2 linked regions of the Schizosaccharomyces pombe genome follow. The protein of the gene in region 1 interacts with the protein of each later gene in a pairwise test. Each region holds a gene or a part of one and is shown on either strand. Other genes may lie near its edges. The genes, in order: rfp1 and hsp16.

Region 1 (4,735 bases):
TGCTCCTCTGCTGGTAAATTCAAGATAAATCTAGCTGATAAATCATCCAGCACTTGCGAAAACGTGGCATTTGTGAACGACATATTTCTTTTAATATATAGTAGTCTATTGTTTGCATTTAAAATTCTAAGTCACTCCAAAGCACGACAAATTCGTCAACTTTAATTTTTGTGCGTCTTGGTATTTAAAGCCATTTATGCGTGTGCGTATAACACAGAGTTAGGGACACGTAAAATTACGTACCAACCTTCGTTAGTGATAAACTAAACCATTATTGATTTAGGAATGTATCACACTGCGCTATACTATTGCTCAATCCTTGTTTCATTAAACTGTTAGACTGTAGTTAAAATCACAATTTGCCTTACCTTTAGGTCTTTCGAGAATTTATTTATCCACCAAAAACTTGTTTAATATTCTACAGAACTGATTGAAAATATAAAAAAGCGAATTAATTTTTGCTAAGTACATAAAATCATATGCGAGTTATTTTGGTTATAGGTCGCTCTAATTCTGGAAAGCTAGATTTTATTAAGGGTAAATATTAGTGTTCTATTTGCAATTACTAATTGAAAAGCTTTGACGGGTTCTTTACCGAAGGGGTTAGATGACGAGGCATTTAACAATGATCATTCTGGCTTGATTCATAAGTATAATATCAGAAATAAATATTTTGAAGCTTCGGTTGGTATTTGGATTGAAGAATATTCTAATTTAGCTGAAACTTTGGATGCTTATAGTTCTGAAGAAGCGAAGGAAGTTATTGATAGCTTAGGTGCCATTGTATATACTTTTCGAAGTTTTGATGAAGCTGAGTGGTCTCTTTTTAAAAATTTTATAGATAAACTACAGCTAGAGATTCCGGTAATTGGGTTGCACATGTCAGATGAAAAATTACTAGAACCACCTGATGTGTTTACCCCAGAATATATTTCTATCAGCGAGGAAGGAGTGAATGAATTCAATGGTAAAGTCAACCAATCTTCTATTTATTAACAAGTCTCTTTAGAGAAAGTAGGACTGGACCGTGTTCGAGAAATTCTCGATTGCTGCGAATGGAACTTGTCACAAGTTGATAAAAGTTTCTCGGAAGAAAAGGATGATGCCGGAGATTTCTATCTCCCGGAACGATTCAAAGGAAGTCCAGACATGCAATCGACGGATCTGGATAATTTGATGAAAGAAATGAACCAAATTAGAGGTTGGTAACTCCTTGAGTCGACTAAACTAACAACGAAATTTAGATGCTGACCTGGAAAAAAATGAGAAAAAGGCCAAGGCTTTAAATCTTTTAGAAAAATTGTTAGGCGATGAATTCGAGGAAAATGATTATGAATCGCTGTAGAAACAAGGCCTTTGTTCGTATCCGGAGAATACATGTTGTCGCTGGAGCACAAATTGATGTATAATAACTATTTGAGTTTGCAAGAAAGGTTCAATTAAGTTTTATCAAAGTATTTTTTACTAAAATCTAAATCTGCTGTATTGAAAGAGGACCTATTAGCAACTTAAAAAAAATTCGTAAGTAAAGCTCAGTCACAAATTGTGATAATTTTGGTCGTATTTCATTATTATAGACATTATAAATCCAACACAATGGACTACATTTTCAATGTACAAGGTTCGTCAATAAAATAATTCCCACATGGCATTTTTCGTATTTAAATAACGGCCACAGTCATTCACTAGACATTTTGACTGAGATCGTTTACTGGTTTTCAAAACTTTTGCACAAGAGCCACAATAGACGTGACCACACTTTGTTGCCCATAATGCAGATTTCTCTTTGCTTTTGGATGTTCCTAATGGTTCCTGACATCTTGGACAAACCATCAATGTATCATTGTTAAAGCTTCTAGTAAATCCAGATTTTGGAGGGCCTGGAGGCTTGTAAGACTGTTTTATATTTTCTAAAGAAGAAGTAAAATCATCATATGATTCTTCAAAATGGTTAGAGAAATATTCGTCGTCTGAACCGTTAGTCCATTCTGGATGTATAGCGTCAAATCTCATTCGGTTCACAATCAACTGGAAAAGAGAAGGGGATAAGGAATTAACAGAACTAAACTCAGGAAATGTCCTGGCAATCATTCCCATCAAATCTCGACGTGAAGAAGAACGACGAGTGGACACCTGAGGACCTAAGTAAATCATGTCTTCCAAATACGATAAATGATTTGAAGGAAAGTTACGAGACCGTTCATTCCTTCTCCGGTTCATACGCCTTCTTCGAGGACTTAGAACAGGAGATGATGGAAAGCTGTCATCAGGAATAGCATCCAAATCAATGATATTTGTTGAAGAAATAGAAGTTTCGACTGGTGGAGAAGGTGATCTCGTCAAATCAATTACACTGCTTTCATCTATTCCATTGCTTCCATTAAATTGCATTGATGTGTGAAAAAAGATACACAATTGTTTCCTGTCAAGTAATTGACAACGGGCAAAAAATTAAGTCGATTTATTTGTATATATTTTGGCCTTGCATATATTAACGAAACGGTATTATTTAATATAAAGCTCTAATGTATTGCTGTATATCAAAATACCGCAGACCAACAGTTCGGTGCATTTTTAAGGCAATGTCCAGTATGCTTTATTATTTATAAACTAATGGCTAGTAAAGAAACGTAAATTAGAAGTCGCATTTCTTTGTTTACACATTATCTTTATAAAAAGGAAATGACCTTATGTGATAATTTACTGAGAAGATCAAACGCCAAAGAAGATATGGCGAATAGAGGAATTTTACGAGCTTAATTTAGCAAGAAGAACCAAAAAAATATGCCTCTAGTAGACGATATGGATTTTTTATTAAAGCACAGAAAATGAATTTAAAATACTAGACGATATTTGATAGTACAATTGTTGAAGAATTAGGATTGTATTTATTAAATCCGCTAGATTCTGAAGTTAAACTTTCACAAATGAGTAATTGGAACATCAGCGCTTGAATATCAAGTTCCTGTCTTGAATTTTTTTGAGTATAAATATGATAAATCAAATAATGGATAACACTGCTTTTAGACCAGCATCAAAAGCGAGCGACATTAACAAAGATTCGTAAAGCCTTTAATCATCCCAAGACGAGGTTATAAACAATAACAATCGTGTTTATGGCAATAAGAGGGACTAAAATTTAAAATTAGAAATTATAAAGTTTTTAATACTTACAAGTCATGACAGTTCTTATAGCTCGAATTAAATGCAAAATTCGGCTTTTGATAGTATCTTGTCGATCACCAAATCCCAGGGCAGCACTTTGGGACCATCCAACTATTTTCAATAATTAGAACAACATATTTGGTTAAAATTGTAGTTCATACTTCTTCCTAAAAATCTATCCTCTGAAAGAATAGCAACCGCGTTTAAAAGCAATAAAGTGACTAACAAATTAGAAAGCTGCGTTCAAAAACATCTTACCATATAATATATTTCCAAACCCAAACATAATGCTCGATACTTTTTAATACAATTGAAGTTCAATATTTTTTTTTAAAGGTTTTGGTAGTGATTTAATGCCAGAATACAGCAGCATATTACGTATCGTTATGCAAGTTATGGTTTTCACCTTTGACTGAAAGCAAAAAGACTTCTATAAATTAGAAATTTACATGTTAGATAATAAAAAATCTCCTGAAAATAATAATGTATCAATTTCTTAGCTTCGAACATATTATTAGTGAACTGTTCAGTGTTTTTCAATTGGTATTAATAAAGTATTGTACCTAATTAGCTTGCATATTTTAGAATGTAAATAATTAAAGAAGGCTACCATAGTAAATTGCAAGCTTTGATTTGGTAATGAAAAAGCTAAATATTATACAAAAGGTTCGTCTATTCTAGTTGTAAACGAAGCAGGTAATTTACCAGCAATGGCTTAGAATTTCGGTATTTAGAGGACGAAGATAAACAAGAGCTTCTCTTATTCGAAGTTCAAAACCATTTCTTTAACACGTTTCCGTTCCATTATTTCTTCAGTTTGCTGATTCTTGGTAGACCTGACCAACGAAGAATGCGAGGGAATCTCTAAATATTGAGAACGCTGTTTATTTCCCCTTTTGGTCAATAAAGTAAACATCACGTGCGACGATTCGCTAGCTGATTCCTCATTTCTTGTCACATATGGAGAGCCTAGGCTAGAAGCTCTAAGAGGAAGTGGAACATCAAATCCCGGATTTTTCTCATGCATACGAGTCAGTAAGCTTTCATTAGTTAGGCGCTCAAACTCTTCATCAAGCTCTCTACTTAATTGCATTTCGTTATCAATATCTTCGTCTTCACTATCCAACAGATCAGACTCTTCCAATCCCGATGATTCCTCGTCTGTTTCAGATTCATCTGATATATCTTCCGGCAGATAAACACTTTCTTCATTCGAGCTAATATCACCATCATTAGCACCCTGGAATACTGGACGTGTATCATCTTCTTCCCAATCATCAGAAATGGCCTGAAGCCTTTCCGTTAGAGCATTCCTGGCTTCCTCATAATGCATGTATACTTTCATGCTAGGTCGCACATATCCTATCACGTCTTCAAATTCATAAAGCATATCTAAAGGCATTTCTGGTTGAATGAGAAAATAACACTGATAAGCTAATAGATATGTAAGCATCGTCTTTTTCGTTTTTGAACGGATGATTGATGGTCCACAAGTCTGCAAAACTACAACAATAAGTCTTAATCGAAACATGTCATTGTTAATATTGGTTAATGTTGACGCTTTCATGGT
Region 2 (3,444 bases), on another chromosome or scaffold:
TTAAGCCAAGAAGAGAAAGAGCGAGAAGCAGAAAGATTATTCTATTTGTTTCAACGGTAAGTTTGTTTGTTTATTTATTTTTTTTTAAAAAAATACATATATATGTCTCGAGTATATTTGGCTGACGTTGGTAGCTTGGAAAAAAATAGTACTATTCAAGTTACTAATCCTATCCAACAAGCTGTAAATAGCGGCTTGTATGAGAAATTGGATGATAATGATTCTGATTAAAAAAAACTAAAGTATAGACGTTGTCTTTTGTCTTATTTTTCAAATGAGTTCGGAGAGTTTCATATATCATTGTTATCATAGTTTTGTTGGACCTATACATATTTTACTGTTAATGTTTTCCACTTTTAAATTTCATGAAATTCTTCATTTTATCAAAATTAGCAAAGCAAGTTAGTACGTCGTGTATTTTACATTGTCTAGTGAGTTGGTAAACTTCATTTGTATACCGTAAATGTCTATATTTTAACCGTCGGATATTGCAATTCGCATTATGCGGTATGTAATATGTAATGAGTTATTAAACGACATTATTTTTAGTAAGATTTTGATCATGTATTATTCGGTAGGTAAAAGACTTAAAAGAAGACGGCAGAATGGAAAGATGGAAGTAATATCATGATATTCGGCAGTCATTAGGCATAATTTGCAGTTTCCCCATCTTTTCTCATAGTTGTTTATTAGTAATTAATAATAAACTTTGTCAACAATTCAGGAAAGGGTTTGTTTATTGAAAAAAGAGCGATAGCTTCCGTCGTAAATTTTTCATTTGCTTTTCGAATGTAGTGGTTGAATCATGTTATAAACCTCAATATTTATTTTCCTTGCTAGAGAGTTAGCTACTTTTTTCTAAACTAAAGATTAAAACGACAGCTGTACGAAATTGACTTTACGATAATATAGATTTCATTGATATGCGCATGAATAGGAAAACTCATGTTGGGTAAATAATGACGTAGGTTTTTTGTTGTGAAAACTCTCCGTCTCCGCAAATCGTAAGCGACGGGATGTACCCCACAATTTTAAGGATCTTCCAATTGAGTCACTTGTGAAATTTATTGCGTAAATCAAACACTCTACCGTGAGCATTACTGCAATGATGGAAAAAACATCTAATATGAGGTGCGACGATACAGTAGAACGTCCGATTCCTTCAAATATATTTATTATTTGAATATTTAAAAAGTTAACAATCGCAGAAATTTGCGTAACTTAACCCAACAATTGTGTAAAGTAAAGGAATTAACTATTCATATTGCTATGCTTTTAACGTAGATATTGCAGAAGAACAATTTTATGACGAACAAGAGGAAGTCGCATAAGTTTTATAGATTTATGAAATGTTTTCAAGTGCATGAGCAACAATTGCGTGAATGCACAAAATACGTCTTTGCCAATAAAGCGCTCAAATCATAAGATTAGAAAGAAAAATTCTTACGTTATGGTTTATTTACAAATCTAAATGCGTCCTAAAAATTTTATTTTGGTTAGTTGACTACAAAGTAAAAAAAAAAATAAGGTAAAGGAAACGATATACAGTCAATGAAATGAGTATTTTTCTAACTCTACTAGAATGATTATTTTCTAGATCTCTCTAGAAAGATAGCACAGCCTTGCGTACCGAAGTTTATATTTGAATCTGCCTCGGTTGTGGCGCATAAGTGGCAAATTTGGACTTTTCTAGAGCAAGCACTAACGAACATCTAAGTCCACCCAATACAGAGTTTGAGTGTTAGCAAAAGACGCCGTTCCGAAAGTACAAACTCCGGCAAATTCGTGATCTTTCACAACGTTTACGAGAAAATTCGAGTCATCGTACAATATATGACATCCATCCCATTCCGTGCTTCCCAGAAAGGTATAAATAAGGGTACTCCTTCCGCTAGTCCAGCATCGAACAAATACAGATTTGAATTGAATTCATATAATTTCAAGTTACTCGCAATTGTTTAAATTTTAAAAAATGTCTTTGCAACCTTTTTTCGGCTTTCCCCCTACTGTCAACGACTTGTTCTCTGACTTTGTTAGTTACTCCCCTCGTTTGAACAACCAAATTCCTGGGGAGTTGTCTCCTTCGATTGATGTGCATGAGGGTAAAGACACTGTTAGCGTTGATGTAGAACTCCCTGGTGTTAAGAAAGAGGACGTTCAAGTCCATTATGATAGCGGAAAACTTACTATTTCTGGCGAAGTCGTCAATGAGAGAAAGAATGAAAGCACCGAGGGTAACCAACGCTGGTCAGAGCGTCGCTTTGGCTCATTCTCTCGTACCATTACTATTCCAGCCAAGATTGATGCAGATCGCATTGAGGCCAACTTCAGTAATGGCCTATTGACTGTCACCTTGCCCAAGGTCGAGAAGTCCCAAACTAAGAAACAAATTGCTATTAAGTAAAATCGTCTCTTCCGATTTTAATATGATAGTTTCGAAATGGTTATGAGACCAATCTTGTTGGATTGTGAGCATATATTATTGTTTGATTTAACAATCAATCATAACATATGCAATTAATGATCCGCTTGCCATTGGATTGATGAATTTTGATAATGAATTGAACACGGTCTTCTAAACAGTAAAAGAGCATTTAAATTCCACATCAAGCAATTTATGGCCAGCTGTCAGACAGTGTTTTAATGATCTTGACTACCACTTGTTACGATTCTCCAATGATGAGCAAGTGATCTCTAGCAATTTTTCAAAATAAATAAATAAATAAATATTTTTTTATTCCTAATTAGAAAACAAGTTGTTTCAAAATGCTCTATCGTAATATGTGTAGATTTATTTTTATTTTTTTCAAAAAAAAAGAACAGTATTATGTAGCTCCTAATGAATTAACAGGAGTTACATTAGCATATCATAAAGTTGTGTATGCTCTTTGAGTCTTAAATCACCGGGGCAATGAAATCGTCTTCCTTTTGCGGAGATCTGATAATATGCTCTTAACAATTTTTGGTTTTATTAGTGAGCCATAAGGTTTGTTTAAGCGGAAGTTTTGTGATTTCATGTTAGGGACAAGGGCTTCATAGATGTGTTCCTTTCTATTTTTATTCTTTATATTACTAGTTCATTGGTTCATGGACACGCTAACCTAAAAGTAGTTAAATCTCCTTGGCCTTGAGCGAGTGTTTCCATACTACCACTAATCCTTGGGTGATCCAATGTTTCCTATAAAAAAAAGTACACATAAATATATAGCCTAGGGTACCTTTCTTTTTCAGTAATCAACATACAGTTTAAAGTTAAGAATGTTATGGTTTTCGTGTGTGATTAAACCAAATTCTTGTTTGCTATAATATCTAGCTCTACAGTAAAGCCGAAAGCTCTTGTATTGCTATGGCTTTGTAAAACTTAAATTCGGCGAATCTCGTTAATATACACTATTCTATCAACACCAAAACCTAAAGTATTTATTATCAAACAGCTGCGTTTAA

The links.
Region 2: the proteins of rfp1 (region 1) and hsp16 interact in a two-hybrid assay, tested with the Schizosaccharomyces pombe proteins (one study listed by BioGRID).

What each region holds. Positions count from the first base shown.
Region 1 is NC_003424.3:2,464,869-2,469,603, forward strand, and holds rfp1 (SUMO-targeted ubiquitin-protein ligase subunit Rfp1), read right to left. Parts: upstream 2,442-4,735; 5' UTR 2,392-2,441; coding exon 1,627-2,391; 3' UTR 1,346-1,626; coding exon of another isoform or gene 1,245-1,345; 3' UTR 1,202-1,244; coding exon of another isoform or gene 1,010-1,201; 3' UTR 968-1,009; coding exon of another isoform or gene 578-967; 3' UTR 538-577; downstream 1-537. Other genes in the region: mRNA-decapping complex catalytic subunit Dcp2, read right to left, coding at 1-83; recombination protein Irc6, read left to right, coding at 480-537, 578-967, 1,010-1,201, 1,245-1,345; transport protein Yos1, read right to left, coding at 3,077-3,132, 3,175-3,276, 3,327-3,386, 3,424-3,451; nonsense-mediated decay protein Upf2, read right to left, coding at 3,926-4,735.
Region 2 is NC_003423.3:2,659,450-2,662,893, reverse strand, and holds hsp16 (heat shock protein Hsp16), read left to right. Parts: upstream 1-1,901; 5' UTR 1,902-1,972; coding exon 1,973-2,404; 3' UTR 2,405-2,755; downstream 2,756-3,444. Other genes in the region: ric8 (synembryn ric8-like protein), read left to right, coding at 1-56, 135-197, 244-406; SPOM_SPBC3E7.17 (uncharacterized protein), read right to left, coding at 916-1,098.